Linked DNA regions of Oryza sativa Japonica Group. The protein of the gene in region 2 binds, or shares a complex with, the protein of the main gene of each other region. Links are inferred from orthologs where the notes say so. Each region holds a gene or a part of one and is shown on either strand. Other genes may lie near its edges.

Region 1 (4,336 bases), on a different chromosome or scaffold from region 2:
TCATTCAGTGTCATGGGTAATCATTTATCCTGTCAGTATCACCTGCCAACGGGAGCTTTTGCAAATGGCTGAACAGTAACCACACAGAAGAAAAGAAACCCCAGAATCCTATTTATACAGCACACAAACATATGGAGTATCTGTTGGGTGAACCTTGGCCTACTGCTCCCTCTTGATGGAGGATGGCCATGACAACCTCCTCTGGTTGATGGCATCGAGTCCATCACTCTCAGGGATTGTCTCGTCCACTTGCTTCCAGCTATCGAGCATTGAGCCCTCTCTCCACTGAGGCGGCGTCAAGAACTTTGAATCGTCACTGGATCCACCCGGGGTCATCGACAGAGAAGAATGACCTACACGTAATTTCTGAAGTGTAGAGAAGGATTCCCTCATTGCAGACATGGCCTCAAAGAAGCGCGTGCAAGAAGCAAGCGCAGCAGGTATCGGTCGAAGCATTTCCTTCATCAAGATAAAAGTAACCATTAAACCAATCTCCAATAACAACAAGTAACAGATTTACAATTACAAATCTGAGCCATTTATAGGACCAAGCAGTCGTAATGCACTACAAAGCAAATTGTAGTACTAATATGGGTACTTCAATAAATCCATAGATCACTGGTCATCTAAATCTGCCACTGATAACATAAATACTTGCATCCAAAGTGGAAGGTGTTTAATAGAAAATGAATTTATAGTGAACAATTGGACACTAACGTAGTATTTAGAAATATATTTTTCAACTTACCCCCCATACAGCAGGTGACTCTCTGAAGTTTTGGCTCCACTGGAAATCACCTACAGATGCTGTCAATGCCCCATAGTCACTTGCTGCTTTCAGAAGTAGCTCTGAAAATTGTTTCTGAGAAGACACCAACAGGTGAGTAGGAAAAACATGATCCACTCAGAAAACCACATGGTTCTTTTAATAATAAAATCATGTACGGGCCGGCATGCTTGTTATGAAAATCACAGGTTGAAATGATAAGAAACCTAACCTGGTATTCAGCTTCAACAGGAATGCAATCGAGGGAGTAAGGTTGTTGCAGTCGAGCAATAATGCGATCCTGATGGAAAAAGGATCATTATTTCAGATGCATAGGTTTGTACAATCGGATAACGTATAGGGCAGAGATGCAGGCGGAACGTTCTTCACACAATCAATCTGAATAACTGGTAATCCCAAGAAAGACAAGTGAAAGAACAATTTGTGACTTCAATTACCTTGTTTTGAATTACATCTTTCAAAATAGTGGTGATTCTGGCCAAAGATTCACACTTCTTCTCCATCTCACTAACGTGAGTCAGATGAGCAATATTTTTATCATCCTGTGGAGATCCAATCTTCATCAGTATGGTCAACATAATAACACATAGTATATATTCAGATCAGAAGCTTTTTAAAGAGATGGATACACCAGCATTCAGAAATGGTGTGCAGAAAGTTTATGAGTCTAGAATGGATTCCATGGGCATAATCACTCTCAGGTTTCACGCTGTCATGCATCAGCCAGTAAAGCTTTAGACTTTAAACTCTCAAGAGGGTTGGGCATCTTTATTAACTTTTAAAGAACCAAGAGTTACAGTACACATAAATATGTACCAACATTCAAATTTCAAAGTGATATTTTGCTCTCTTTTTTTGTGATTTCAACACCACATCACAGCAAGAAAATGAAAAGGATATTGATTACACCAAAGCTAAGTGAAATAGTGAATACATGATGGCGGGCGATGGAATGTTAGAGTAATATCGTGTAGTACCAGATCTGAGAAGGTAAAACAAATACTTATATTGTATAGATGCATCAGCAAGGTGGACAATGTGTGGAGTTCTAGTATAAATGTATAGAAGCTAGCCACTGGATATCAAATTCATCACCTTTCTGCCCTGTAGTTCCACTTGCAAATTGGCAATGTTCCTCTGTACAACAGTCAGTTCCCTCAAAACCCTCACTAGATCATCGCTTTTGTCTGAGCTGCCCTGATCCTCCTGCCATAAATAAGCCATCACAAGGAATGGTAATACATGTCAGATGATTTTTTTTTTCTTGCAAGAAACATATTCTTTAGAAATGAACGAAATCCTTTAATGATCATCCCTGCAAGTTGCCAGTTCTAGGAAATTAAACAATCATAATGAAAATATACACACGCCAGCATAGAAATTTTTCATAATTATGACAAAGCAAGCAATGGTTCATGAGATCAAGTAGCTTATGTTCACCAAAGTTTGGGGCAGATTCCGCAGGTGATTATCGTAAGGCTAACCAATCCCACCCAAATTCTCGGAATTAAATTCTTAAACCCGCCCAAATCATTCGGAACTGCAGTGACAGAGCTCAATCTTACCAACAATGCTAGACTCAAAACCTACATTTCTCGACTGCATCACAATCGCAAGGAACCAAACCCTACTACAATCACCTCCAACGAAACGCGCTGCAAACCTAACCGAGCAGATCTGGATCTACCGAAACCGCAATCGGAAACCGGAAACCAGAACAGGTCGAGGATTCGCGCGAAGAGGCGAATCAGCGAGGCGAGGAAGGGGATTCGGGAGTCGGGATCCACCTGCGCGGGAGGGGCGGGGAAGCCGAGGTCGGCGGCTATGGAGAGCGCCTCCGCCATTCCCCCCAGCCGCTTGGCCGGCTTCTGCACGCCCGCCATGGGGGCTCGTCGGCGTTGGGCTCGAGGGCGCCGCCGCCGTGCGCGTCGCCGTTTGGTGCGGGTTTCGCTTTCGCTTTCGCTTCGCCGGCTGGTGAGCGTTTTGGTCACGCGATTTGAACCCAAATTTTGAATCACAGCCGCTGCTCAAATTCTTGTTTCCTTTTTTTTTTATATAAATTGCACAGTTACTCCTGGGTCCTGGCCAAGGCTATTTTCTCTTAGAACTGTAAACAAGTACTCCCTCCGTATTTTAATATACGACGTTATTGACTTTTAACCAACGTTTGACTATTCGTTTAATTCAAAAATTTTGTGCAAATATAAAAATATTTATATCATGCTTAAAGAACATTTGATGATGAATCAAGGCACAATAAAATAAATGATAATTACATAACTTTTTTGAATAATACAAATGATCAAACGTTTAACAAAAAGTCAACGACGTCATACATTAAAATTAAAATATAGAGGTAGTAATAAATTTTTAAACATGTTAAATGGGTTGAACTATAACGGCTTAGATTAAAAAGAGACGGCATCTACATTTTCTGTTTTCATTTTGATTTTCTAAATTAAATTAATAAATACTAAATTGATAGTATAAAATGGATACAGCTTCATATTTAATTTTACAGATTTTGGATTTTTTTTCTAAAAATTAGACGAATTAAAACTAAGGCCTTCTTTGGAATGCGAATGCAAGATTAGTAGAAGCACACTAGTAGGAAACAAACATTAAATTTTGGTCAATGTGAGTAAAACAGAGAAAACGTATTATTCGGTAACACCAAATTAACCAACATTAACTAATCCTTCTTTTACTGACCTTGGTACTCCTTCGGGCTATTCTTTTATGGAAAAAAAATAGGCATCACGTAGAGGGGGATGTTGAAAGATAAATTGTGTATTGAGCCACCTATTATTTCCTAAGCTTTACAAAAATATTTGAGTGAATTTCGCTTTGGGCTATAATTTTTACCCAAGTTTTATTTTGGACTAGGGGTGAACAAATCTTTTCACTTTTGACTAGGTGATTTTATAAAAGTTTCAAACTAGACTGGCCTTCTTCTCCATCACTCCTCTTCTGGTTTTTTTTCTCCATCATGATACTGCCATGGATCAACCGGAGCAAGCACATAACTAGGATTTCTTCTCACGTATCCGTTCCTGAGCTCGAACTCACGAAATTAAGGGTGTGTTTGGTTGGGTTTTCAACCTGCTTTTGCTTAGCAAAAGCCAACCAAACGGCCCAAAAGCCACAGCTGCTTTTGCCCAAAGCCAGCTTTTGGTGTAGTACAAATCAAAATCACCTCTACCCCCTGCTTTCACCTGCTTTTGAGGGAAAAATTACCCACCTCTGCCATTACAGAAAAAACGGTTCGCATATGTTCTTTTTTTTCTCCCATCGGCGTCGCTCGACGGATTTATCTCTTGATCCTCCTCACTTCGCCATTGCCACCGCTCCTCCTCACTTCGTCGTCACCGCCGCTCCTCCTCGCCGAGACGCCGCCGCCGCTCCTCCTCTCGTCCCACGCCGGCCCAGATCCACCGACGAGGAGGTGGAGGAAGAGGAGGAGGAGGAGGTGATGAAGGGCGAGGTGCCGGTGTTCCCGCCGCCTGCCGTCGAGGCCGATTTCACCGCCGCCCGCGTCTACCTCCCCTC
Region 2 (4,092 bases):
TCAGTTGAAATAGATAACTACAGAGCTCTAGTTACTAGATTTCCATTACAGAGTTAAGGACTAGATATTCAGTAAATGAGTAATAACCATTGCTATTAAGGATTTAATGACCAAATATTTTGAAGATTACAAGGGGAAAGTAAGATGGGTGTATCATACCGCTTCAGTATAAGAATTGGATGCTTCTTTCGTGGCCTCTACTAGATATTTCCTGCAAGAAACGGTAAATAAGTAAAAAATGCATTTTCCTGAAAAGAAAAGCACTCAACATATTGGATCTGTTTTGAGAAGATGTACCACTTAACTCAAGATATCATGTCAGTTTTTTTTAAATCAATTAAACTGGCTTTACCTGATCCTATGTAGTGCCGGTACTGTTTCCTTGGTATAGGTGTCACGCAAGAGATGATGCTCAAGATAGCTAGAACCATGTTAAGAAAGAAATAGTTAATTAACTCTGTTTTGTCCCATCGCTGACTAGCAAATAACTCAATTAGAAGACTAACTATGTTTAACAAAGTACAAATTAAGATCCGTTATTAGGTGATGTATGATGGACGTAGATGCAGGTACCAACCTTAATTTAGCATTCATTGTCCGGCACCTTTTAATAAGCCAAGTCTTCTTCAGATCATCCTATTAGCCCACAAAGACAAAGTAGGAGGATTAACTATATGAAACTGAAAACACTCCATGTTTTCAAAGAAGCAGCATCATAATAGGAATATGAGAAAGCTTACATATTGATGCTGATGTTCCAATTTCTTGTCTTTAACGAACTGTATAAGTACAGCAAGAATTTGCTCCAGGACCTTTTGAAATTTCAGGAGCCATCAGTAAGTGGATATAATCCAGAATTTCTACTAGAATAAAGTGAGCTAACTGGCTATGTGGAGTTTGAGCAATCACTTAATATCTACACACGTACATTATAGTGTTCGGCAAATTTTCTATCCATCGAAGCAAGATCGTCTAGTAGAAGGGCCTCTTCCTTTTCAATCTCTTCAATAATTAACTTCACCCTGCCAAAAGGGAAAATCATATTGTGAGTAATGCGTCTCATGAATTCCCTGTTATTAATATTTTAAGTCCAAACAAGTAAAGGTTGACAATTGGACATTGCCATCAAGAACTGAGAATGCACTGTGAGTGATCAGAGTAAATTATTACAGAAGCAAACAAGGAGATTTTTTTTCACTCAAAATGTTATGCTTGACCTAAGAGAGTTTTGGCATATCAAGCATTTCCGTATAAGTAAAACCATTGCAAGACAGGCAAAGATATGAAATTTCACCTTTCTGGAAGTCTGGCACTTGAAATCTGACTAATGGATGATGAATCTGCAGCACATTTGAAATGTTAAGCTAAAACAATAATATTGAATACAAGATGTGTACTGTTGTCTAAAACTAAGTTGCCCAAGTTGCATTGCATAAAATGGACAGGAACGCAGGGAGTGAAATTGGTAGTCATAGCAAGATTCAAAAACTGACCCCTTTCATCCATTGCAAACAGATCAGCTAAAGCATCACACTTGGCTTCTAAGCGGGCCTCAATCTCTCTTGCCAGAGTTCGTTGATAGTCAACCATGTCCTGCAACGGGAAATCAGAGGTACATGCTGTAAACGTTTAAACAGCCCGGTTTTGAAAAGAAACAATGTATGTCCTGATTGCTCTTCAGTAAATGGTAAACAAAGATAGGAAGCAGTGAAGCAGTAATTGTCTGATTCCCCAAGAAACATACGATAATATATCCAAAACTAAAATGAAACTTGAACCCACCAACAACTGGTTCACACGATAAATTTGGTTGCAAAAGATTATACATACCACGGTCATGGCTGGCTGCTCTTGCTGCACCTGGTAGAGATAATCCGATGTGATTCCAAGAAAACGATCAGGAACACCGCCAACACCAGGCTCAACTGGCTCCGAACCACCAGTACCAGGGGCCGCAGCAACAGTGGCTGCACTTGCGGTGCTGCTGTAGTTATTGTAACTAGTCGAGATTGAACTCGAGCTAGGTGCGGCACTTGTCATGGTGCTATCGAATGAGCTCCTAGACAAGGTGCTCAGCTTCTCTATCTCCTCCTCATGTACATCTCCATCCTGCGAGAGCAGTGGAAGCCTTAACCTCTGCGCAGCCTCTGCAACCGCCAAATGGTGCTCCAATGACTCGTACACCTACATCAGTCCATACAATGCTCCATTTTCAGTCAGATAATTTCTCAATTTAGCAGCAAAAGTTTCATCTGCAATCAACCAGTTGAATTCACATTTGCAGCTTTATGTCCACCATTCACTGAAAGACGCAAAAATTTAAAAATGCGGGAGAGAAGTGGAACCTGCGGGGAGCAGTTGAGCTTCTTCCCAGCGTTGGCGACGCCAGTGGAGATGGCGTGCTGATACTCCTCCACCATAGCAATGGCCTCCGCGTACACAGCCTAACCACATTACCCCCAGATCTGATCAGAACCCCAACGGGAAACCCTAAAATCCCAGATCCCACGAGAAGGGACGGGCGCACTCACCAGTGCCTCCAGGTATCGCGCGCGCTCCGACGCGACCTCCTCCCGCGCCTGCGGCGAAGGAAAGCACAGAGACAGCAGCGGGTGAGATCGCGGAGGTAGGACATCGAGTTCGCGGAGGTGAGATAGCGTACCTGGAGGAGGTCGGAGTGGGCGCAGCTGGAGAGGAGGGAGGCGTCGGGGGCGAGGTGGTGGCGCTGGAGCTGATCCACCAGGTGCGCCACCTCCGGCGGCGGCGGAGGGAGCGACGCGGCGGCGGCGGCCTTGGACATCGTCGTCGCCGGCGAATAAGAGGTTCGTTGGTGGTGGTTTGAATCGTGTCGGGGAATGTGGGGTTTCGTTTGTGTAGCCGGATTTGGGGGGGCTACCAGCCGTTGGATCGTGGGATGACGGATGAGATTACGGCTGATTCATTCGGCTATCAGAGACACGGAAACAAAAATGCCTCTATAATCTTCTGAAATTATGGATGTCCACTATAATCTCCTTCATCAAATTCGTCATCTCTCCGGTCTTTCATTTCATACGCTGTTTGTTATTTTTATTTGCCGAGGCCAAATTTTAAAATTTTTAAGAAAATTAGAATTGAGAGTTGATTTTTAGGGGTTTTTCATCGTGGTTCATTTTAAGTTGACTTAAAAAAAACCTGTGAACATTATTATTTTTATGCTTAGTTCTTTTTTCCATGGCTTATGAGCCGTAAATCAAACAATGTGTACTTCGATTTTAAAATGAGATGGTAAATCCTAGTACTATATTTTAGAAACAGATTTAATGGCTAGGTTTCGTTATGCTCGAGCATACCCTCAAATGTTTGCATAAAAATTTAAAATAGATGATATCTCTTTGTGATTGGTGTTGGAGAAGGATTATAGAAAAGAAGAACGGGTGTTTGCTCGTCCTGGAAGAAGAACATAAGCAACACAATGATATGATTAGAACTGAAACGGTATAAATTAAACAACTTACTCCCTCCGTCACAAATTACTTGTCTCTTTAAGATTTAAACTTTGTCTCAAAATGGTTATCATAATAAAATACTATTTGTTCCATCAATCGTTTCTAATTCAAATTTATCTTTTTTCTTGCCCCTAACCAACCTCCTACATCCAACCATACAATATTTAGTTAAGGGTATTATAGTTTTTTTTCTTAAATCTTAATCTATGCTTTAAAAAAAAGGTAAAATTGTGGCACATCAACGTGCATGAGCTTAATAATTTGATTAGATCAAAATACCAGCCCATATCCCCATACACATGTGGTCAGGTAGATGGACGACCTTCAAGTTTGTTGTTTTCATGTTCAGGCTTGCATGATACGATTACGATCTGCCATGATGTCTTTTTCTCGAGATTATGGTGTCGTAGTCGTCTTCAACTACAGTAACCAGACTTTTATGACAGAAAATGGTGCGCCAAAGCAGCCATACCATATGAGGAAAGGAAAAAAAAGATAGAAAATAAAACACAATATTGAATAACTTGCAAATATTGTATTGTATAACAAGATTTGTCCTTGGGGACCTTTTATTATGCGTATAATTAGCGTGTTTTTTTTCGAA

What was found.
Region 1: AUGMIN subunit 4 (region 2) and AUGMIN subunit 2 share a complex: the UniProt entries of both Arabidopsis thaliana proteins name them as parts of the augmin complex. The link is inferred for Oryza sativa Japonica Group from reciprocal best matches to the Arabidopsis thaliana genes AUG4 and AUG2.

Annotation. Positions count from the first base shown.
Region 1 is NC_089042.1:6,163,859-6,168,194, forward strand, and holds the start of AUGMIN subunit 2, read right to left. Parts: upstream 2,813-4,336; 5' UTR 2,671-2,812; coding exon 2,575-2,670; intron 1,994-2,574; coding exon 1,883-1,993; intron 1,330-1,882; coding exon 1,225-1,329; intron 1,068-1,224; coding exon 999-1,067; intron 863-998; coding exon 749-862; intron 460-748; coding exon 160-459; 3' UTR 1-159. UniProt on the Arabidopsis thaliana protein: Contributes to the assembly of the acentrosomal spindle and phragmoplast microtubule arrays as part of the augmin complex.
Region 2 is NC_089036.1:1,015,897-1,019,988, forward strand, and holds the start of AUGMIN subunit 4, read right to left. Parts: upstream 2,846-4,092; 5' UTR 2,801-2,845; coding exon 2,663-2,800; intron 2,580-2,662; coding exon 2,532-2,579; intron 2,445-2,531; coding exon 2,346-2,444; intron 2,185-2,345; coding exon 1,831-2,184; intron 1,594-1,830; coding exon 1,494-1,593; intron 1,341-1,493; coding exon 1,295-1,340; intron 1,023-1,294; coding exon 929-1,022; intron 813-928; coding exon 741-812; intron 637-740; coding exon 578-636; intron 422-577; coding exon 353-421; intron 212-352; coding exon 160-211; intron 1-159. UniProt on the Arabidopsis thaliana protein: Involved in microtubules reorganization during spindle and phragmoplast development.